3 linked regions of the Arabidopsis thaliana genome follow. The protein of the gene in region 3 purifies or fractionates together with the protein of the main gene of each other region. This does not show direct contact. Each region holds a gene or a part of one and is shown on either strand. Other genes may lie near its edges.

What was found. The genes of interacting proteins can lie anywhere in the genome.
Region 1: the proteins of AT5G45620 (region 3) and PAE2 fractionate together in Arabidopsis thaliana (co-fractionation; one large-scale study listed by BioGRID). This does not show direct contact.
Region 2: the proteins of AT5G45620 (region 3) and AT5G26360 fractionate together in Arabidopsis thaliana (co-fractionation; one large-scale study listed by BioGRID). This does not show direct contact.

Annotation. Positions count from the first base shown.
Region 1 is NC_003074.8:4,761,734-4,768,951, forward strand, and holds PAE2 (20S proteasome alpha subunit E2), read left to right. Parts: upstream 1-2,290; 5' UTR 2,291-2,490; intron 2,491-2,593; 5' UTR 2,594-2,630; coding exon 2,631-2,644; intron 2,645-2,776; coding exon 2,777-2,858; intron 2,859-3,050; coding exon 3,051-3,131; intron 3,132-3,423; coding exon 3,424-3,537; intron 3,538-3,631; coding exon 3,632-3,733; intron 3,734-4,044; coding exon 4,045-4,103; intron 4,104-4,199; coding exon 4,200-4,302; intron 4,303-4,396; coding exon 4,397-4,462; intron 4,463-4,555; coding exon 4,556-4,648; 3' UTR 4,649-4,876; downstream 4,877-7,218. Other genes in the region: AT3G14280 (LL-diaminopimelate aminotransferase), read right to left, coding at 1-56, 149-273, 389-553; ATPMEPCRC (pectinesterase family protein), read right to left, coding at 5,172-5,854, 5,942-7,218. UniProt on the Arabidopsis thaliana protein: The proteasome is a multicatalytic proteinase complex which is characterized by its ability to cleave peptides with Arg, Phe, Tyr, Leu, and Glu adjacent to the leaving group at neutral or slightly basic pH.
Region 2 is NC_003076.8:9,252,711-9,261,570, forward strand, and holds AT5G26360 (TCP-1/cpn60 chaperonin family protein), read right to left. Parts: upstream 6,319-8,860; 5' UTR 6,182-6,318; coding exon 6,157-6,181; intron 6,063-6,156; coding exon 6,001-6,062; intron 5,910-6,000; coding exon 5,837-5,909; intron 5,537-5,836; coding exon 5,469-5,536; intron 5,389-5,468; coding exon 5,319-5,388; intron 5,124-5,318; coding exon 5,055-5,123; intron 4,974-5,054; coding exon 4,902-4,973; intron 4,787-4,901; coding exon 4,713-4,786; intron 4,422-4,712; coding exon 3,759-4,421; intron 3,683-3,758; coding exon 3,557-3,682; intron 3,411-3,556; coding exon 3,306-3,410; intron 3,205-3,305; coding exon 3,130-3,204; intron 3,037-3,129; coding exon 2,851-3,036; 3' UTR 2,343-2,850; downstream 1-2,342. UniProt on the Arabidopsis thaliana protein: Molecular chaperone; assists the folding of proteins upon ATP hydrolysis. Known to play a role, in vitro, in the folding of actin and tubulin.
Region 3 is NC_003076.8:18,496,887-18,505,142, reverse strand, and holds AT5G45620 (Proteasome component (PCI) domain protein), read right to left. Parts: upstream 3,658-8,256; 5' UTR 3,554-3,657; coding exon 3,404-3,553; intron 3,110-3,403; coding exon 2,663-3,109; intron 2,465-2,662; coding exon 2,384-2,464; intron 2,189-2,383; coding exon 1,992-2,188; intron 1,899-1,991; coding exon 1,799-1,898; coding exon of another isoform or gene 1,721-1,798; exon of another isoform or gene 1,461-1,720; coding exon 1,275-1,460; 3' UTR 999-1,274; downstream 1-998. Other genes in the region: SUV2 (protein dimerization), read left to right, coding at 5,470-5,871, 5,958-5,996, 6,084-6,202, 6,582-6,655, 6,766-7,052, 7,139-7,207, 7,315-7,397, 7,520-7,660 and 3 more. UniProt on the Arabidopsis thaliana protein: Acts as a regulatory subunit of the 26S proteasome which is involved in the ATP-dependent degradation of ubiquitinated proteins.

The sequences.
Region 1 (7,218 bases), on a different chromosome or scaffold from region 3:
TTGAATCGCTCAGCTCCTGATAACTTCTTTGCAGAAGATCAAGAATCTCCACCTCTCTGTTTTTGATACCAAATCCATTTATAAAACAAACTTTGAAACAAGATCGATCTGATTAAGAATTTAGGTTAGGATTAGGAATATATCATACCTTGAGTAAGAAGCTACCATTGGACTCTGTGTGGGACAACGAGGACCTTCATCGTATCCTTCACATATAACCTCTCCATTATCATCTGTGTAACAGATGATCCCTTGTATCGGATCTTCAAAAACCTGTTCCAAGAAAAACAATTTCAACATTCATATTTTTACCAAATGGTTGTGTCTGAATTTTCAAGAAAATTATGATCCACTCTAAGGAGAAACAAAAAGAGAGAGATGATCTTACAATGTTCTTGGTGGAGTATCTGATCGGCTGAGGCTGTGAAACTGTGGCTTTCTTGACTTTAACATGAACTTGACTCTGTTGAAGCATCAAAGTCTTTGCTCTTACTGTCTTTGGAACAAAACATGGTGTTTTAAGAGGAAGATAAAGTTTAGTTGAATATGCCATAGCTTTTGTGTTTCTTTCTTTCTTCAAGAAGAAACTTTGATCTCTTCTTTTTGGACAACTCGTTTGGTTTATAGTTCTCAGAGAAGAAAATTATAAATTCCGATGATTGATTGAATCTGAGTTTAATTAAGATTTTTTTTTAAGTCAATTATATATAGACGCAAGGTGAAGATAAAATAATAGCCAATAAGAGTGGCAATCTCATTAACAAGTTTGGTTGTCTTTTTCGTGGGGTTTGGTTAGTTCTTCTAATGGTTTCGTTTTTCTTCTTACGTTTGATTTTTGATGAACGTCAATGTGAAATCGTTGAATATATCTACACATATACATGTGTATGTCTAGTCAGGTGTATTTTTATTACATAAATTTTTATAAAACTATTATTGGGATTTCTTACTCCGTTAATGTTTAAAAAATATTACTAAGAAAACTACTTAGATTCTGTAACACTTATATTTGAGAAACAAAATGAGTTTTATAACCCGATTCTTTGACAAAATAATATGAGACAAAAACAAATAATTCCCCAACTGAAATAGTTTATAGACTTAAGACATTTTACCTTCCTTCTGACCTAAAAAGGTAAAAAAGACATTTGACCTTCCATCGAAACAATTAATCTGTCATTACATTAATTTCAAAAACTTGCGTGCTATTAGTTGCACTTGCATTCAACCAATTTTTTCGTTATGTTGAGATAATATTAATATTAGAGTAAAAGAAAAACTAAACATCGAGCAAATTAGTTGTTACAGTGCTTATCTGCCGTCCAATGACGAATTAACTCCTACTTAATTAAACCGTGGCACGTGTCGATATATCAAGCGTCATGATAAGCTTTTAGGAGCATTTTTAATTGCAAAATGACAATAATTGGTGTTATATTATTGCTATGATTTAGACAAGAGACTAATTGTAGGCTAAACATGGAGACATCGTCGTACAGTTTCTCGGGAAAAAAGCTGTCTCTTCTTAACCACAATAAGGTACGTTCGAGTCAGAGGCTCCGAGCAATGATATTTATTTCGCTGGTTTGATTACTAAAGAAATGCAAAACAATACTATAATAACAACGAATATTCCTCCACCAAATTAATTAAACTCTTGCGAATCTTTATTTTGTTTTGTTAAAAGAATAATACAACAGATTTATACAAGTTTCTGAGTCATCAGCAACTTTGGAATCCTTATAATAGTTTATGAACATTTTTAACCAAAAATACATATAAATGGTGGAACCATAGATTAGAAGGGTTGGTCACAAAATGTTGGAGCAAAACTTCCAAAATCGCTTTTAACAATTTTTAAAAAGACTTCCAAAATCCATTTTTTTCTGTCGGTTAAACCAAATTTAAATTATAATTTCGATAGAGAATGTTTAGATCGATCACCCGAGTCGATAGTATATAAATTGTAGTACATTGAATGAAAAACTATAATCAAATATTTTGTGGTCTCTGTTTCAGGAGGTTGGGAGGTTAAATACGTCACCAAAGTTTTTATTAATTTTCTAGATCGTCGTCCACTTATATCATCGCGGAGTGGTGGCCTAACTTATCAATATCGTACGATCTCCAAATTTAATATAAGCAAGTTTGATTATAAAATTTGATACAGAAATTATTTAACATTATCTTCATCATCACTTATTTTATAATTAACAAATACTAGAAACATACGTCTACGAGTTAAAGTAATGGGTTTAGGCTAAAAGATTTGGTCAAGAAGTATACAGTAGCCTAATTGAAGGTCCGTTTAATGGCGTATGCTTCTCATATTAGACTTAAGTTAAGGCCCGTTTGATAAGATATTTAGGCCCATTAACAGCCCAAGTGTTAATCAAAGTCTAACTTGTTACTCAAGAGTGCTTGTCTACGGGAGCTAAAAAGGAACTGGGAAGAGTTTGTTTCTTCGATTCGTAGATCAATTCTCAGCTGGTAAAGTTTTTTTGCATCCATACAAGTTCTTAGTTACTTGAATCGTTTCCTATTTTTTTCATTCGATCTGTAATGTTTTTAGGGTTTAATAACTTTTGTGCAGACATTGAGGTTTATCTCAGATCGAAATCGAGAAGAAGATGTTTCTCACTAGGTACAAAATTGAGCATTTCTTCCTTCGATTTCTTCAGAATCGTGTATCACCGTTTCTGGGAAAACTTCGAATCCAACGATTATGGTGCTTGTATTGATCAAGTTTTTTTTTTTTTTTTTTTTTGTTCTTAAGGACTGAGTATGACAGAGGAGTCAATACATTTTCTCCTGAAGGTCGTCTCTTTCAGGTTGAGTATGCCATTGAAGCTATCAAGGTAATTTATAGATTACTCTAGCTGCTAATAGCTTCTCTAGAATCTAGTAAAGTTGGGATGTTTCTTTGTTTGCTTAAACGAATTTGGTTACTTAATCCATTATTGTGTTAGTGTGCTTTGTTGGGGAGTAGACAATAGATTGGGCATGCCCTTTTTGTATCCATTGATGGGTTTGTTATGGTTTGATTGCAGCTTGGTTCTACTGCTATTGGTGTAAAGACGAAAGAGGGAGTTGTTCTTGCAGTCGAGAAGCGTATTACTTCGCCTTTACTGGTATAGTTTCTCTCCTTGTATCTTCTCCGTGTGACTCCACTGTTTTATTAACATTTGTTATGTTTAGCAGTTTCCATCTGGTTGATTTGTTAGTATCTAAGAAGTTTTCTTTGCTTTACTATTTCCGTGCCTTTATGATTTTGGTACACGCACATTATGCTACAAATTTAGTCTTGAATTGGCATGAGTGATAGAATCTGAAAGGTAATATTAGTATGAATTTGTAATACCTTTTTGAGTTTACCCTATGATGGTAACTACTTTCTCAGTCTCTTTTTTATCTTTTAAGTAGGAGCCGAGTAGTGTTGAGAAGATTATGGAAATTGATGACCATATAGGTTGTGCTATGAGTGGTCTGATTGCTGACGCGCGAACACTTGTTGAGCATGCACGAGTAGAGACCCAGGTGAGATCTCAGTTTCTGACTTTCTGTTTCTCATGGATTTGTTTTTACATCAAAAGTTCTTTCTGTTACCAACTGGTTTTATTATGTTGAGCAGAACCACAGGTTCTCGTATGGTGAGCCAATGACTGTAGAATCTACAACACAAGCTTTGTGTGATCTTGCTTTACGGTTTGGTGAAGGAGAGGAAGAGTCAATGGTAGTAATCGCTCTATTACCTTTATAGCATAGGAAGAGTCAATGGTAGTAATCGCTCTATTACCTTTATAGCATAGGCAATGTTTAGTGGATTTCTCTTCTTTCTGCTTGGAAATTATGATCAATTATCAGAGATAAACCCTTAGATTGGGGTTTTAAATTTTTGTTGTGAATTAATAGATATAACTCTTTAGGAACCACCACTATAACAATCCCTAATCTTCCATAATGTTTTAGCAAATATTCTTTGGTTCTTTACTGTCTCCTTTTTATATGAATGTACTTATGCTCGGTCTCACAAACTTTTTGCAGTCTCGTCCATTTGGAGTATCCCTTCTCATTGCTGGGCATGATGAAAATGGACCGAGCCTGTAAGTTGTTATTCATTTCGCTTATATCATTTTCCAACTGTGTAGATGATCTCAAATTGGTAAACAACAAATGTTAAACAACTCAATCCTGTATAGGTACTACACAGATCCATCGGGAACATTCTGGCAATGCAATGCAAAGGCAATTGGGTCTGGCTCAGAAGGAGCTGATAGTTCTCTCCAAGAGCAATTCAACAAGGTACTAATAACGTGATTGTTTCACTGTCCCAAGCGCATTACAGAATCTATTTCTTTTGAAGTTTCCTTGAACTCCAATTTCACAACTCTTACAGGATATAACTCTTCAAGAAGCTGAAACAATAGCTGTATCTATCCTAAAGCAAGTAATGGAAGAAAAGGTATTCAATTGATTACAAGTTTGTTTATTAAAAATCCCATTAAATCCCTCTCCGGTTTAGCCCTTTTTGATACTCTCTACTTTTCTGGTTTAGGTGACTCCAAACAATGTCGACATTGCCAAAGTCGCACCAGCTTATCACCTCTACACTCCTCAGGAGGTTGAAGCCGTCATCAGTCGTCTATGAAGAAATAAACCGCCATTCTCTTCCTGTTATCTTACCTTGTCTGTTCGGTAATTTATCAGGCTTCTGTCTGCTTCCGGTTCTCTAAACCAAAAATTAGTTTCGTTTAATCAGATAATGGATTTTATCGAGTTGAGTTTTATTGAGCTTTCTATCTACATTTTTTTGTCGTTTTCAACAAGAAGTTAAAACTAATAAATATCTGTCCAAAAGAAAAAATCAGAACTTGAAAGTTGAAATCTATTATGTACATATCATCATTGTACGTCGGAAAAAAAATCTCAATTATAAGATAATTATATATTTATTATCTATATAACCACCCTCACTGAATTTAACCCAAACCCCATTAAGAGAAGCGCTGATCGTGAAAACCTATCTTTAGCTAAATCTTTAAAAAAATAAAATATATTTCTTTGAGGTTACAAAAGAATATATTGTATTTTTTAAACATATCTTTAGCTAAATCTATAGAAAAAATAATAATAATTGAAAACTTAAGAAAACAAATAATAAGTGATTAAGTTTACAGAGGGGGCATTCCCATAACCGCCTTTGGAATCCAATTATCATCCCCTCGGAGAAAATACTTAACCGTAAACCTTGCAGCCTCATCATCAGACGAAATGGGCTTATACCCAGCCCATTTAACTCTCTTGGATAGATCCGACCCAGGACCTGAATTCTTGTACTCTCTATAGAATATAGTACGTGGAGGCGGGTCATAAGTCGAATTCCACGCAATCCACCCAGCGGGATTCACGAACGACCCAATCACCGATTGCATAATAACCGTCTTCGAAAACAATTTCCACGGACGGCCAAGATACGTCGTAGCAGTTACATTTCCGTTGGGAGAGATTGTGCATTGGTGGATCGATATTCCCGTGTTCTGATTGGCCTCTTGTGTACCTTCAGCGGTGATTGTGTTGAACTGATTCGGAAGCGGCTGACGCGGACGGATGCTGCAGCCTTGGAAGACGACTGTGCCAGCTCCGAAGATGAAATCAACTGTTCCGGTGACGTCACAGTTACGATAGTATTGTCGATTTGAGTGAGTATAAAGAGTATCTTGGTAGCCGTCGAATGAACATCGATAGTAGACTGACCGATCGGAATCTGATCGGAATGCTACCGCTTGATGCTTCTCTGGCCCGGCGGTGTTTATGATTCCCATGTCCTTCATCATAAATCCTTTGCCTTCAGTTGCTGCGCGTAACAAGTTAAAAAGTGTTTAAAATGACCATGTTACTTCAAAAAAGCAGAGAGTATAAATAAGAAAGATGAGAGAGGTACCAAACGTGGAGGTATTGAAAGTACGAACCCCGTCGACCATGTTAGTGCTACCGGAAATAATGGTCTTATCCCTGCCGTCGCCGTAGATAAACACATTCCATTTATCCTTTTTCATAAGGACATTCTCCACATACGTACCTGCTTTCACGTATATAACAAACATCGTTTTCCCCTTCTTCGGAACTCTCCAAACCGCTTCATTCACCGTCCTCACATCGCCGGAGCCATCCGCCGCCACCGTAACATGAGGCGTTAAGTTCTTCGCTTGAAGTAACCGCCTCACTCCTGGTCTAACCCAATTTGGAAACGAATTCGAGTTAAGTAGCCGTCTCCCCTGAACCGGGATCCTAGACTTGCTTGGTTTTTTGAGAACCTGCGCGACGATGGCTAAGCTGTTGCTTGTGAACTCTGTGGAATTAACCATGGCGGATTTAAGCTTCTGTGGGATTGGTGAGTTGTAGTTATCTTCATCAAGCGTGTCGCCACACGTCCCGATATCTGTTACGGCGGAGCTAAGCCACGTTATGAGATCGCCGATCGTTGACGAATTCAAATTCTTCTTCCCGCCACTAATTACTTCATCCAAGGAGGAAATAGTATCGTTAACTGAATCAACCGCGAGGTCGAACACATCTGCGCAAACACTAAGCGCCGATTTGAGTCCCTCATCATTAGTCTCTTCCGCGAGTTTCTTCGGTAAACCAACGATGGAATTGAGTTCGTCGAATGTAACTTGTAACGAAAGCCTGAATAAAACCTTCGGATCTGTCGTCGTTTTGGATAATGGAAGCTTCGAGATGCTTGAGATACAAGAAGCAGGGTAATTAGTTACATTACACACAGTTCTGAGGACTGAACTCGGTGTTGGATGAGGTGACTTTCGAAGCCGCGGGGACTGAACTCCGTGTCTTTCGTGTATTGGAAACTTCGCGATGATCGCTAAGCTGTTGCTTGTGAACTTTCTGGAATTGACCATGGCGGATTTAAGCTTTAGTGAGATTGGTGAATTCGCGTACTCTGTTTTGTTCTGGCTGAGTTCATCAAGTGCGTCGAGACACGTGTCGTGATCTGTTACGGCGGCGCTAAGCCAAGTTTGAATCTCGTCGATGGTCGACGACTTCAAAATCTTCTTCCCGTCACCAACTTCTTCCATGGTGGAAATAGTATCGTTGACTATATCAATCGCGTCGTTGAACACATCTCCACAAACACTAAGAGACGATTTGAGTCTCTCATCGTCCGTCTCTTCGGCGAGCTTCTTCGGTAAACCGGCGATC
Region 2 (8,860 bases), 9.2 Mb from region 3:
AAAGGCAAGGGACGTGGTAAAGTCACTGATGAATCTCCGAGACCTCCTGTGTTTTTTATGTCCCCTTGGACTGATAAGGTCTTCGATGTTTGGAGACCTGAGAGGAAATAGGATAGATTTAAGTTCTCTTTTGTGTTCTTATTGACTTTGTAGGATGTTATTTATGTAGGATGATGTGTATGATTGGTAGGATCCCGATTTTTTTTGGGTGGGATCTAGACCTTACTCTGATTTTTCGGCTCTTTTGACTCAATGAAAGTAGGATATTACCATTGATTTAAGAGTTTTACAACAACAACACAGCAAACAACAAAGAACTTCTAAAACAACTAGCATTAGAACATCCATAAAACAATGCAAAGAACTTCCTAGCATCCATAACTCCCTATTACAAAGCCTACTTCTTTCCCATTCCCAGACACATTGCAATGACAACAGTGAAACATCCCCAAGACAACACAATCAACTGCCTAAGCACTTTTTCCCTCTCATTCGCACCCATAACTTCAAATTCAAGCTGCTTCTTCTCCTCCTCAAGCTGCTTCTTCTCCTCCTCAAGCTGCTTCTTCTCCTTCTCAAGCTTCTTCTTCTCCTCTTCAAGCTTATTCTTCTCTTCCTTGTGCTTCTTCATATCCTCGTTAGTAGCAGACCCTGACCCACTCGGTAACTATTCTTTCATTGACCTCAAAGACTCTTTCAGTTGACGAATCTCATCTCGAGCCTCCAATAAACTCTCTTTTTGCCAACCAAATGGCTTCTCCTCATCTGCCCAATTGATGAAGCCATGAGTCCCACATCTGAAAAATTTTCTACCCGGATTTTCATTTGTCCATGACTTTGTAACTGTCGTTGCCCTACCACAATTGCAAAGAGGACTCAGCTACGGCTAATTGAATTCGCATCAGACCCTGAACTTTGGCTCATCATTTTTGGAAATAAGAAGAGTTCTTGTAAAGAAGAGCTAATAGAACTAGGGTTTATAATAACAAATCGATTTGGGGGTTTTCGTTAAGGGTAACAGTGTCTTTATATTGGGCGAATAAAACACGTGGGGTTAAGTATTAACCTCAGTTAGACACACCGTTAACGAAGTTAACAGTCGTTAACCCGAGAAGCTGATTTTTCCAAACAAAAACTAAACGAAAGATTTTAAAGCGAAAAGAAATAAACCTAGGTATTGTTCGGACAAATTAAATAACCGAAGTATTAAACGGGCAAATTAAAAATATATGAGGTTTTTTTAGAGTTTTTTCCCATATAAAATGTATAAGAAAACGATAGTATATGATTAAAATAGTATTATCTACTGCTAATAAAAGAAACAATTTGAGGCTTCTCAAGTCATCCTCATCATCATTCCAAAAATCATTTTAGAGATGCCACATCATATTTTCTTTTAAATACTCTCTCTAAATGCAATGTCACCAAATTATTAAAAAAAAATTTAGAAAACAAAAAATAAATAATGTTTTAATAAATATTACTAGAAAAAATAAGTGTTGATTTTTTTACTTCAAAAACAAAAGCAAATTAAATGCTTAAAATAAAATATTATTTTTTTCTTGGATTTCAATTAAAATGGTTTAAACTAACAAAACTAAATAAAAGAAACTTAATATTTTTATAATTTATTTCTGAGATCACAAAGTCCAATTTTTCAATGACAGTTTTTATAAAATTTAGGTAATATAAATTATTAGTTGACAAAAAAGAAGGTAATGTAATTCATTATTTTAATTAAAAAATCAAAAAATCAAATTTACGTTAATTACAAATAACTAATTTTGAAAATATTAACGAATCTTTATACATAATAAGAACTATTAACTTTTTTTATTTAATAAATGATTAGTATATATGCAGAATTGAACAATATGCTACCAATCTAATAATACAAAATTAGCTTTTACAAATAAATTTTACAAATTATCCACCCATTGAGTTTAATACGTTTACTATACATAATTCCAACTAATGAACTAAACCCAACAAAAGAAAATCCAATAATTATTCAAAACAAAACCTCAAAGAAATGAAAAAATAAAAAAGTCTTGTGAAAACAAACCCATTTATTTTGAGTTAAGAAAAACTATTTATATTACAATCATCTTTAATAAAATAAAATAAAAATAAAAGGTGATTCAGTTTCATTTTAAATAACACAAATAGATAGTATATAAAAATATAAGTAATTCAAACTAATTTTCTATTTAGATATAGCAAATTTAAAAAAAAATATATGAACTAAAAACAATACAAAAAACAGAAATAAAATTTTAAAATAAATTTGGGCGTAGCCCGTATTTCCTCTAGTTTACTGTAAAATTAGATCAAGATCAACATAACTAAACTTTCAATTTTCATTTAACTAGCGAAGTTTAAAGGTTTTCAGTAACAAAACCAACCCGTATAAATAAATTCGGACCGAGTCAACCTGAATAATAACCCAAAACTCTAAATAACAGATCCGTACGTCTGAAATGCAATTAATGGTGTTCAAACAAAAACACAATTTGACACTAACCGGTCAACTAAAGATCCAGTTGAAGTACATACTTGATGATATTCAAACAAAAACGACACAAACTAAAAAAGTCTCTAGTGCCAGAAATTTCAAAAAGACAATAACAACTAGCACTCTAAAAACCAACAAAGTGACTACGAAAATTCAAAAAAGCTAATATTCCAAAACAAACAAAAAAAAACCACCCTCGAAAATCTTATCTCACCAAGTCAAACTGCAGAATTAAAAGATATGTCAAGGGAAGATAATAGCCAAAAGAGTGCAACCATTAAACAAGTGAAAACAGAGATTGAGTTATGCTGAGACCAAAGTGTTTCTCCCTTCGCTTAGTCGGGAAGAATTTGTTCGTTGTCTGCATCTCCTTCTGTCTCAATGGTAGGCTTTGAAGGTCCAGATCCAGGAGCTTGCTTCTTCTTGATTCCACTCACTATATCATCGATCCTTAGAAGCATACACGCTGCTTCTATAGCCGTCTTGAAAGTTTGCGCCTTCACATTGTACGAATCCCATATCTGGAAAATTGTTAAAAGCTTTTAGTCAACTCTCTGAGTCACATTGGTTTCATGTTGTGAGAATCAACCAAGGTTATGTGATTTAATCCTTACCTTGCTCTCTTTCATATCAGCTATTGCACCAGTGTTCCCGTCAATACCAGTCCATGCGTTTTCACCATTTGCATGCTGCACCAAAACCGACAATTGAAGCATTGAGAAAAGAGTTGGTATATACTTAAACAACGGGCAAGAGATGGCAGTTGGGGTTCATTAGTACAGGACAGTACCTTCCCTTGCAATGCAGTCATAGTACGGATCACGTTAACCCCACAGTTTTGAGCCAGGGTACGTGGAATAGCCTCGAAAGCAATGGCAGCTGCTTCATAAGGCCACTGTTTAAATAAGATTCAGACCAACAAAAGAACATTTATCAGCGACCGTGGGAACAGCATACTCGTTTTAGAGGCTCGATATAGATTTGACACAAAATCACACAACTTTAGGCAAGGAAACAAAATGTAATAAAAGCAAAACCGACCTTTTCTATGCCTTCAATTGTTGCACTCTTCTGTTTTAATGTGGCAGAAACGGTTAGCTCTGTGGCTCCTCCACCAGGAACTAGCTTTGGGTTTTTGATAATGTTTCTTGCAACAGACATGGCATCCTGTAGGGACAATGTTTCAGGCATATAAGGTTATGAATGATTAAGAAATACAGATTTGTAAATAACACCAACGAACCTGTAAATTTCTTTCCACTTCATTGATGAAATCTTTACTTGGTCCCCTTAAGAGTACAGTACAGGCTTTGGGTTCTTTGCAATCAACAATGAAAGAAAAGAAATCATCTCCAATTTTCTTGACCTCAAACAAGCCAGCCCCAGTACCGATATCAGACTCCTGCAGTTCGTCGGGCCTGTTCACAATTACTGCTCCACAAGCCTTGGCGATTCTGTTGTTGTCAGTTTTTCTCAACCTTCGGATTGCACTTACCCCAGCTTTACTGAAATAGTGACAGGCCAAGTCACTAAGACCCTTCTCTGTGATAACCAAATCAGGCTTGAACTTTAGTATTTGAACGCAAATGTTCTCGATATATTCCTCTTCCAACTTCAACAACACTTCCCAGTCCTCTTCTCTAACCAACTCAGCATTGGTTTGATTTTCACCTTTCTTGTACTCAAGAGGACAGTCAAGAAGAATAATCCGTGGGTTGACAATCTTTCTTTTCATTTTACCAGGAGCAACAACATCTTTGTTAAACATAACTCCTTTAAGAACCTCAGAGTCCTCGAACTGACCACCAGGAACTTTCTCAACCTTGATGTACTTTTTAATGTCTACCTCCCTCAAACCTTGTCCAAGATCAACACCAACAGTAGTAGTGGCATCAATAGCCAAATCCTAAAACAGTACATAAAGTCATATAAAATCATGTGAGTACCAACGACAATCAAACTTGTAGAACTTCATACTACAAGTATTTCAACAATCGAAAACCACCAAAAGAATTGAAGAAAGCAGTCATCAAATTCAAGTTATTTCATGGTTACTCATCTTACATTTAAAAAGTCACTTCAAGATGTATGCTGTATCTATACCTACTTGTCTAGACATATCCAATATATATTAAGGAGCAATAAAACCTGGACTGGTAATGCATAAGTAAGAAGCTACTGTAATTACGGTACTTACCGCAATAAGATCTCCAAATTGGCTAGTGAACTTTGTCCCTATGCAGCTCTTGACTAATCCTAGCACTTGTGAACCTGCAACTCACACATTCTTCCATCAGTACAAACGTGAAAGAAAAACTAACTTCAGAAACCAAAGTAGCTGAAGGTCAACTCCAAATGAACAAATACAAGGTAGAAATGGACTTACGGTCATTGATATCAATTGACATAGCAATTTTGTCAAGAACAGCAATAGAATCTTCGAGAGCCTTGATGTAAGCTGCAGAGAAGAATGCATTCGTTAAGATGAAAACGACATGTGTAACATGACAACAATAAGCAATTCATAGTGCCAGCATACCTCGGCATATGACTGTGGGATGGTAATTCTTCTCAAGAAACGCTTCTGCAACGTGAAGCATTTCACCAGCTGTTGGCAAAAAGCAAACAAAAAGAGGACTTCAAGAACCCATGATTATAAACAGAGATCATGATGTTGAACTGAATACTGCAGCACCCATAATATCCTTAAGTAATTTGTTTGTGCTTTAGTTAAAAATACATTAAAACTGGTCCAAACCAAGCCATTGACAAACTATTTGTTAGCAAAAAAGAATGTTCGTACCTAGAACAATAACAGACGTTGTCCCATCACCAACTTCTTCATCTTGCGTACGGCTCAACTCAATCATTGACTGCAATCACCAGAGTCAAAAATGGATAAGTAAAACAATTTTAACAAGAACAATAGATAGAGAAAGGTCAGAAGTAAAACCTTAGCTGCAGGATGAGCGACATCTAGCTCACGAAGAATAGCATTCCCATCATTAGTAACAACAATCCCTGTAAAGATCCAAGAAACAAAGAGGGGTAAGATATGATGATAACACACAGATTAAGAAAAATTAAAGGTAGACAGAAAAAAAAAAAAAACAAGACAAACAGAACCCAAATATTGATTTAGGGTTTATATAAAACTAACACCGAAACTGAAGAACAATAGCTTCAACAAAGAACGAGTACATAAGAAAAACATTTCCAAAGCTAAAAACACTAAACCTAATTCCCTCACTACAGAGATCTACTACCCACATACAGAGATATGAAAAGCCTAAAAAAAAGAGGAAGTGTTTAGAAAAAGACCTCCACCAGCATCAAGAAGCATCTTCAACATAGAACGAGGACCCAATGTTGTACGAATGATATCAGCAACAGCCTGTACCACAAAAACAACGATGATCTGAAACCAGAGGAGAGAAGCAACAAGCATCACAGAGAAAAAGAGCCATAGAAAAGGATTAATTTACCTTGGAAGCTTGGATATTACCATGATGAACCTTACTTCCAGATTCACGCTTCAACGAATCGCCTAAACCATTTTCACAAAAGGAGTTAATCTCGTTACCAAAAAACTAATATCGATTTAGAGGAAATGAGATCTGGAGGAAGATGGAGATACTCACTCAGAACGAGTACCGGTGCGTGCATATTTGCGATCTGAGGTTTTCACAGTGAAGAAGAAGCTTAGAGAGACACGGCGAGTGATTTTCAAAGAGCGGCAAGTGGAAGATCCTACTGCCTTCTCCGATTTCTTTCATCCTCTCTCGTGCTTTTCATTTTAGGTTGAGAAGCCCATCCCTAAGGCCCATTAACTAATATTTCACACATTGGGCCTTTTTGTAAGATCAAAACAAAGTAATAGTATTTTTATATCCGGAAGATTAGGTAAAGATGCGTGAGAACGGGAGAATTGTTAACCTAATTTGTTAAGAGGGAAAAAATACAAAAAATACTTCATTTATTTTTAATTTGTCCGTTTAATACATGCGTTATTTAATTTACCTGTTTAATATTTAAGTTAATTTTTATGTTTATTGAAAACCTTTTTTTTTTTTTTAATTTTAGCAAAATCAGACATCCGAGTTAACGGGCGTTAACAGTGGTAACGAAATCGCTAACTGTAGTTAAAACTTAACCATATAATGTTTACTATTTATATACAATTTGTTTTCTAATAATTATGAACATATTATTTTAGTCGAGTGGTTATGAGAGAGATTACCATCATCATCGATTCAAAATCGATTATCATCTCCAAAATTTTTTTTGATTTTTTTTCTTTTTTTTTTAACAAAAAGGCAAAATCGAAGTCAGCCATCTCTTTCACTTCAACAGGCTTTGCACTTGTGTGTTGCTTCACTTCTTTCTCCAAAGGATATTGCACCAAAATCAATCACCAACCAAAAGTCCCAAATGTTAGACCAATTAATACAACATAGATTTGTGATAATCGATCTTATTTGTTATCAACAGATGCAATTAATGGTAACATAATCTTTCTATAAGCTATCAACGTTACTAACAATGAAAAACAAAGTCTGGATTTTTCAACGCAAAATATCAGCAAAAACTGGGAATATGCAATCTTTGCTGACTTATTCATATCAATCGATCTAGAAATTGAAAACCTTAATATGAATTGAAGAGATGAAGGAATCTAATTTAGCTCGTTCTCAAAATCGAATTGAAGCAGATCTAACAAACGTGGTGCTAAACAAAAGAAAGTCTCAGAATCAAATTCAAAATCGTAACTCGGATTACTGAGATTTTGCCTTTTGTTAAAAAAAAAAATCAAAAAATTTGTTGGAGATGAGAATCGATCTCGAACTGATGAGGATGATAATCTCTCTCAAAACCACTGGGACTAAGATAATATGATCATAACTATTAGAAAACAAATTGTATATAAATAGTAAACATTATATGGTTAAGTTTTAACTGCGGTTAGCGATTCCGTTACCATTGTTAACGCCCGTTAACTCGCATGTCTGATTTTGCCAAAATTTAAAAAAATGAAGGTTTTTAATGAACATAAAAATTAACTTAGGTATTAAACGGCCAAATTAAATAACGCAGGTATGAACAAATTAAAAATAAATGGAGTTTTTTTTGGTTTTTTTCCTCTGTTAATAGTATAATCTCCCTCGACCTAATCCATCTCCCGTCAGAAAGTTGTTCCAAACTCTTCAGTGTTATCATCTTTTCCTTTTAAGATTATTTTTGTCAAGTCTACTTCTTATAACAAGAGTAAGTGCTTTCCCTCCTGTTTTAGGTTTTTGTAATTTGGTTCGCTAATTTATTTGATTTCTCATTTGTGTTTGTTTCGTTTCCCTGAATTTTTCTTCCTTTGATTTTTCAGATTACAGACTTTGAGACTCTTAGTTTTTACTAAGACACAGTGTGATCAAAGAAATAGGCCCATCTTTGTTTTATAGAATTCTTTGTAATCAGGTTGTGTTGAACCTTGTTATGTAGGCTATAGTTTTTGCTTTGAAAGCCATGTATGACTCTGAACTATTACTCAATTTTTTAAAGTAATGTGGGATTTTTTCTACTTATTTTTTTTCTTCATCGATTGAGTAGTATATGTGTGTTTTTAAAATTTTGAATTACCTCATATGCAGAAAAAACTAATATATTTTTAACTATATGTATTATATATATCAAATAAAAATAAATTAGATATAAGAACAAATAAAAATGAAAGAAAAATCATATATTTATTATTAATGTAGATATATAGATTTTAGGAAATTAGCAATTAATTGAATGTAATTTAATAAATATAAAAATTAATTAAAGATTTAAATTTAAAATAAAATATTTTTAGATAAATTTTGTAGGGACTAAAAAAGAAATAAAGAAAATAGTTAATTCAAGTATTTAATGCAAATTAACGATTTGTAAATTTTTAAGAATATAACATTTTGGTTGAGATAGAATTTATAAAAACTCATATGTTATTAGTAAATATTAGAGAGATTTTTGATCAAAAAGTGCATCAAAAATATATATATAAATACTTTTATTTTAATTTCAAAAGAAAAACATTACCTAATACGTATCTTATTCCTAGGACATTTATGATTGATCTATCTTTACGTATTTTTTACGAAAAGAATGGTTTAAGATTGAAGAAGAGTTAAATATTTTTATTTATTCTTTCAAAAATATTAAATAATCAATAAAAATCATATTTAGAAGATATTTTATGGACATGTGATTTTGGCAATTTCCCCATAGGAAAAAGCGAAACTCTCTATAATTGATTGTTACTGGCTTTGATACTTTGAAGACTGAACACAAACAAAAAAATCTCTTATCACA
Region 3 (8,256 bases):
ATAAGGGACAATAATGTAGAATCAAAATTTTATAAGAAAAAGAGTGAATCATCGTACAGACAAGACGACTCATGGCCATGTGGTTTCTGCCATTTTGATCACAAAAATTACTTTCGGGATTCTTATAATTATAAGTTCTGTTGAATAAATAAATCTAGAGATAGTACAGTTATTTTTTAATTGACAATTATATTTGAATTCATTCAAAAATTCGACTCTGTATTGATTTTTTTTTTATAATCGTTAGTAATTTGATTTATTTATATGAATTCCTAAATGTGTACAATAATTTGAATTTCATTTTCATACTCTGAAATATTAGTTATAAAAAAATTAGAAAAGTTTTAATAATGAAGAGATATGGAATGGCAGAATTTTTGTCCACATTTGCTTCTTAAACTGATGACCCTCAATGCACAAAACCAAAAGTATAATACATTTTCACTTTTAGTCTTTTAGATCAATGAAATCAACAATCTTCCTACCATAACATGAAATTTAGAATTATGTCTAGCTGTTATGGTTTAGAGCACAAATTTAGTAGTACAATACATCATCAACGACACACGCATATATACTCTCACTTCTTAGAATTCACATCTCCACAGTGGTTAACACTCTCGAAGTCACACCGGAATCATAAACGCCATCTAAAAACGTAAATCTTTTGAACCTAAAGCAATATAGCTTCCATGAGCAGGCATAGGAGGAAGAGAAGCGATAAGGATAAAGCCATTGCGTCGGAGAAAGAATATACCAACGGTAGTGACGTGTTTCAGGGTTATGAGGAGTGCATAGAGACAATGTTCTGTGCAACGTAACAATGATCGGAAACGCCTTGAAAGGAGTGAGATTGTTGGGAATTGAATCTTGGTATACGCGCTATGAGTCCAAGATGAAATCATCGGGAAGTGACGTAATCGGAGACCAGTGCCAGAAGCCGCGAGAATCCCCAAATTTTAGGCTCAAATCAACTATTCAGAGTGAGTGAGTCCACGTTTAGATCCTATCAGATGACTTTTTCTATAAACTGATTGACTTGTTATGGTTATGTGAATAATGAATGATTGTCAAGGACATGTTTTAAGAAAAAATGTATGAAAATAGTCTAAATGTAGAACTGAAATTTCGGACATCTTGAAATGGAAGTCAAAAGATTAAAAAGCAATTGTAATTTCTTCTACGACTGAAATAAAAAACTTGAATCTAATCCCAGAGAAGATGGTGTTTTACATTCAGTAGCTTCAAAAGGAGGAAGAAGGTTTTCTTTTCTCTTATGCTGCAACAAGATCTGGTGTCTCGGCTTCAACAGATAGTAAAGTGGTGTGAACTTTGTCAACCCAACTGTCTAATTGATCCCTCAAAGCCTTGATCTGTGGAATCCCTAGTACTCTCGGTTGCGCCCATGAGACATAAATTGTTCCGTTCACTTGGTCTATGATGCCCTCGATCAAATGCACCTGTATCATTCATTTTCCACTTTAGATTCTACAGAAGCATACACAATCATTCTATGTCTAAGTCAGGAACAAAACCAGTCAAGATCATTTGAGTTCTATAACAAAATTACGCAATAAGACGACAACTGCAAATACATAAACCTAGAGATACAATGCGTATGGTGATGTTTACTATGTTGTTCTTAATCAGATGACAGGTAGTTCAGTATCATTATGTTGGTCACTCAGACAAACTCTTTCCTTGGTCACCACAACAGATTTTAACCCGGAAGCTGCAGAGTTTTTTGGGTACTAAAAGAACACAAGAGAGAAAAATGCAAGGAGATACTAATACTTACAGAAAGGCTCTTCATGAGAAGGTGCTCAACATCTTCAATGGAAAGTTTAGTACGCTCAGCGATGATGCTCAAAGGAATGGTTCTATCTTCAGCGGGTCGGCTGATGTAGAGTTTAAAATCAAATGTATTAGCACATGATTTTATTTCTTTGATTGAAACGGCGTGAGGTACAATTGCCTAGAGAAAAGTTTACCTGAAGATGATCTCGATAAGGCAGAGAATGTTGATCTTTTCCAAAAGCTTCTTCTCGTTCTCAACAAGTGCTGGTTGAGCAATCAAGGATGCGTTGTGCACACGGCATAGTTCTTGATACTGAACTAAATCACCATGGTTGAATGCCTGTAGAATGTGGTAGAGCCATTCCACATTTGTTCCAAGGAGACTTTTCAACTGTCATCAGAGAAATGCTACATGTAAGAGAACCATCTACAATTCTAAGCAAAACTATAACATGAGAGTTAGAAGCCGTCTCAACTCACAAACAGTATCTATCGTAAATCCAAGCAATTAAAGATCAACAAGAAGCCTTTTATCTACACAAGAAAATATAACAGTAGTTTATGTCGAGGATGAAGGAAAACTTACAATGGGATGGGCTAACAGTTCCCCAAAGTTATAGATGTTCTCCCCAAGTAGAGCTGATAGTGACAAATCGAAAGCCAAATCCTGAAAGACACAGATATGATCTGACATTAGCAAAATTTGATCGGTGACTCTAGGGAAGCTAACTAGTACGCAACTTTTTTCTTCAGTTTCCTCTAAATTTCATCAAATTTCTGAATACTCTTATCCACTATCGCTAACAGGAAACTTAACATAAGAACAAAATATAAGAACAAGGTACATAATATTACAGGGGCATACCAGCTTAAACGATTCTGAAAGGTCCTCCACAGACGTGTATGCAAGATAAAGCAGAGCACTTTTGTAGAAATCAGAAAATTCTTGACGGCACTTATGGTACTGAGAAGACACCCAATAGAAGTTGGCATAGACTGATGGATCAATGTCAGTCATACTATCAAGAGAGCTCTTTCCATCGTCCAAGATTTTTTTGCACTCCTTCTGATCACCTTGCTCAAGCTTGAATAAAGCTTTTTGTGTTTCAATATAAATGATTGGTTCAGTAATCCTAGGCTCTTTAGTAGCTCTAAGTTTCTCAATCACGCTTTCAAGATAGCTAACTGCAGCTTCTTTCTCAGAGTACTGTCGAGAGACCACCACAGCAAAATGCGCAAGCTTCAGAAGATTGATCTTCGTCTCAAAGTCAGTGATGAAATTGTGATAGAACTGAATCAAAGCATCACCAGCCTGAAATGAAAAAAAATTATATTATAACAATGACACAGGTTAAGATCAGACACAAAAACTTGGAAGCAATCAAAATTGATCTATAAACCCTAAAACCTAACTTTCTTCGAAGAACTTAATCCGAGAAAACCCTATCATCTTCCAAACGGATCTCTAACTCGTGTTATTCGGAAGTAAAAACACAGATTCTACGATATTTGTCGAGATCTATGAACCCTAAAATCCACAAGGACCACTACTAAACCTAGATAGATATTGAAACCAATTAGTATTACGGAGGAGAAGCAAAAGTACCTGAAAGACAGCGAGAGCGATGAACTGTTCGAGCTTAAGGGTGAGTTGATGCCAGAGCTTTTTCTGATACAGATCTGCAAGGGAATTGTACCATTCGCCGAGCTCTGGATGCGTATTTTTCAGAGATTCCAAGTATTGTAGAGCAGCCATGGCGAAAGACGAAGACGAATGAAGAAACGAGTTTGCGAATTCTCTCGATCTTATGTAACTCAGCTCAGCTCTGCGTTTAAAGAATCCTAAAAAACCCTTTTCTCAGTGTTTTCACGCCCGACCCGAACCGTCCGGTCCGACCGGTTAACCCGTAACCCGAACACTTTTCCGGTTTGGGTTTAGTGCTAAAACCCAACAAGTTCAAAACCGAAAAAACCCACAAAAACTCGCAATTAACCCGTGACCCGGTGAACCGGTTGAACCGGCCGGGTGTGGGTTTTAAAAAGTTCTCTTGATTTTACAATAAAATATGGGATTTTAGACTTTATTCAATTATTTTTAGAAGTTTTTTCAGTTCTTAAATTCATTTGATGTTTTAGATTTTGTTGAAGACTTTACAATACCGCCTTAAAATTGAATCGAATGGTGAGAGAGACAACCGAGATTAGTTGTTTTAATTCACGATGTTTTATTAATTTATTTATGTCATTGATGATCTCCTAATATATTTGTTACGGTGTTAGACATTTATTGGATTTCAAATTTTTAACCACTTTATTATTATTGTTTGATTTTTTCTATATATATATATATATATTTGGGTGTAAATGATTTTATATTTTGTTAAATATAATATAATTTTATATTTGATTAAATATGATATGATTATTTTTGTTTTATATTTATAAATACTACAAATTTTTTTATTATAAAATACTCTAAATTTTCTATTAATATTAAATTTATTAAATAAATTTTAACTAATTAACCCGTGGTCCAACCCGGTTGACCCGGTGACCCGGTGACCCAGAAGGTAGTCCGGTTCATCGTCCGGGTCGGGTTTCAAAACATTGCCTTTTCTCTTCTTCTTTTTTGCTAAGCAGATAATCCTTTAATTTAAAAAGAAAAGAGAACTACCGGGACCAAAGTATAAATATGTGAGTTTTAAGGGGTATTTATGTAATTTAAATTATAATAAGGTGGATTTGTAATTTAGCATTCCACATGACCGGACAGAGTTTTGAAAACCGGAACAGAAACGAACCAGAAAGTTTTTTTCAGAAAAGAAAAATATAAATATTAGATCAATGTCATTTGATTACTAAATAATCTTATTTATGGTTTACCATAATAATTTTTATTATGACGGTATTTTACAATATTAATAAAATATTGCAAATTTTAAAAATGATTTTCAATTATTTATAAAAATAATATAAAACACATAAAGAAATCAAGTTAATAAGAAAAAGAGAATTTTAACCATAAATAATAGTAATAGTACAAAAAGTTTTTTGGATCCTAAGTTTTACCGACTGCTCCATCAAAAACTTTAAAGCGAAAGATGATTATTTACGATGGATCCGTAAATATAGATATCATAAATAGTTTGTATATTGTTGTTACCTTATGTTTTCATGTTAAGATGTTTATTTGCTCATTTTTCTTTTATGTTATGTTTTGATCAATGACAATTTAATCTATTAGGTTATGTTTTGGAATTAATTAGATAACATTTTGATAACCGGTGATAACAACAACTTGATGACCGGTGATAACAACAACGGTTATGTTTGCTATTTAAAATTTATTTTGAAAGCATGTTAAATGAAAAATTTGAATATCTGATATTGTTATATAGTTTACAGTCTTGTTTAATATTTACATGTACAATATGTCAGTATCAAAATGGATATTCGAAAATATCACATAAAAATTCAGATATCCAAATTTTTTTGAATTAAAGTAAATCACAAAATCAGATATTCCGTTAAAACCAATCGAATAACAAATATCACAATTGTTCCGGATATCCGAATTCGTGTCAGGCGTACTGCTCACTAAATGGGTATTTCGATTTCGCCTCTTTTCCCACTCACTCGCTATCAGTCATTCGAGCGATAGAGAGAAAGAGAATGAGTGGAAATGATGAAGAATTTAACGACGAATTTCTCCTCGCCATCGATTCAATCGAAACCACCCTGAAAAAAGCCGATATGTATCGCCCCCTACCTCCTCCGTATCTTCCAACGTTTCTACCGGCTCCTCCGCCATCGACGAAGATTTCATCGTCTTTATCTCACCCTATGCAGTTACAATCCTCAGCGGGACAACAACGGAAACAAATTCAAGTTCCTGATCCTTTCTTAAGCTATTCTCCGCCGAGAGAACTCTCTCAAAGAGTAGTAAGCGGTTTCAATGACGCGTTAATGGATTACTCTAACTCTACTGTTGTTACTGCTGCTAAACCTATCTCTCCGACTACTTCGAATCGTCGCTGTGATAGTGAGAAAGATCTCGAAATTGATCGCTTAAAGGTTAGGGTTTCGTTTTATTATTGCGTTCTCTGTGATCACAAAGATGTAGTTTCTCATATTGTTCTTTGTGGTATTTGATTAAACAGAAGGAGCTGGAACGTGTCTCGAAGCAATTGCTGGATGTGGTATATTCATATCTTTGAGTTTTTTAGTTCATTGGAGTTTCCATTTTCATGTATATATAGTGTTGAAATTATCTTTGATTGTTCCAGGAGCAAGAATGTTCTCAGCTTAAGAAGGGGAAAAGCAAAGAAACAGAGTCTAGAAACTTGTGTGCTGATGATAATAGAGGGCAATGTTCTACGGTTCATGCTTCTAAGAGGATAGACTTGTGAGTGAATGTTGTTCTCTTCTTGTTAGGCGAAATGACGCATCTAAATTGGATCTTTAGATTGTTTTTGATGTACTTGGATCTAATTCTTAGTTAGCAGCCTTTAAGTATGTATCTAGTTTTGTAGAATATATCATGATAGGGTTCAACCATTTGCAGGATTTTGCATTCTTATCAATTTTACCAAATTTAATTAGTGAATCGCAATGCTGGAAGGTGAAACTCTTTGTAATGTTGAGTAACTGTGGTGCAAGCGGTTACCCACACTTTTTATCTCCTGTTTGGAGAATTTGAATTTACCGTTCATTAGCTTACGTGCACTTTCCTTATCTGTTGCAAATCACCAACTGTGGTCTAATTAAGAAGTCTTGTGAAACAGGGAACCAGATGTCGCAACTTCTTCAGTAAATCATCGAGAAAACGACTCTAGGATGGCGTTAGATGATAAAAGAAGTACGTGAATGTTGATATTGGCAATAATTAGTTTGACGCTTTTGAAAGTTTTATTTTGTTCAAAATTTCTTGGTTGTCTATTCATTATTTTTTGCTTTGGCTTAAGTCAGGCTTCAAGACCACTGGTGTTCAGGCTGATGTGGCCAATCATTCTGACCTTTCAAAGAAACTGCTAGACATCTGGCGCACCTCAAATTATCAAGATCCGAGGAAAAATCTAATCTCAGAGTTGCTACTGGCTTGTTCAACAGATCTCCAGATTCTCTTTAGTTTTATGAAAATCAGTACGCCTCCTCAAGAACTTAACAAACAGGAAGCCAAAACCTCGTCAGATAGACAATCTTCTAAAGCCTTAGAATCTGAGAAAGTGTATCAATTATACTCTGCAGTAACAAAGGTGTGGCTTTTAGTTCAAACACTATACTTGTCGATGTATAAGTTATTGGTCAGACTATCTAATTGAACCGCCTATGTCTTCTGAAGATCAGCTATGGGTTTGTAAATTTGAAGACCTTGGTTGAACCACTACTTGATCTTTGTAAAGCGGAAACTGTAAGTCGGATTGAGATTCAAAGCTTTATCTGCAAGTTGTAGCTTTCTGGATGTTTTTTATATTTCTCCTCTTTTTTTGTGACTTGATTAATTCATCTGTTGTGCAGGCCGTTCTTGTTCATAGATCTCTGCGTGTACTACATGTGCTGTTGGAACATATATGTGGTGATGAAAAGAGATTTGAAGCCAGGTATCTACTCTCTCTATCTGGGATTAGTTCTCTAACTTTCTCCAATATTTCTTTACTCTAAATTCTTACATTAACCATAAATCATCATTGTAATGATTTTTTTTTTCATGATCCCTTATTAGTTGGGATGCAAACTGGCATTCTCTGTTTAAATTGATGAATCAAATTGCTAGTAAAAGAACCGAACAGGATGTGAAACAGGAAGCATTGTCGATAATGAACATAATCGTGATGAGCACCGATGCTTATACTGCTAGAGAAAGGTAAGCACTCAAAACCGTTTTCTTTGTCTGTTCATATGAACATCTGCATTCATATAACGTTAAATTCTTTTCATTGGCCAGTTTTGTCTCCAAGGAAGTGTTTGAAAGCATTTCATTACTTTTAAGAAAAGAAGGTGGCTTACATGTACGGAAAGAAGCTATTCATCTTTTTTACTTGCTACTCAACTGTAAGTACTTACTTGAAGATCATATTTCTTGGTTTTATGATGAAGCCATCTTCGCCAAAGTTGCGTTTCTTTCTTCTCTAATATATTCTTTATTTTCGGTTCAAAGGTCCTAAACTATACGATACATTTGATTCTCTCCATGAGGAAAAGAACTCCTCTGATACTGAAAACGATAGTGAAGGAAATTTCTTTGCTTTGGAAGCATTTGGTAAGATCTTTGAAGGCTTAGCAGATTGTTTGACTTCTCCCAGAAAGACATCAGAGGTAATTAAAAAACCGGAAAAAAAACCCTCGTGTTAAGTAGTGTACTGCAATTGGATTATTTAACACAGCTTTCGGTTTATTTGATTTTCAGGATCTGGAACTGTGTAGGAATGTAATAATGATCTTGGCTCTAGCAGCTTCTTC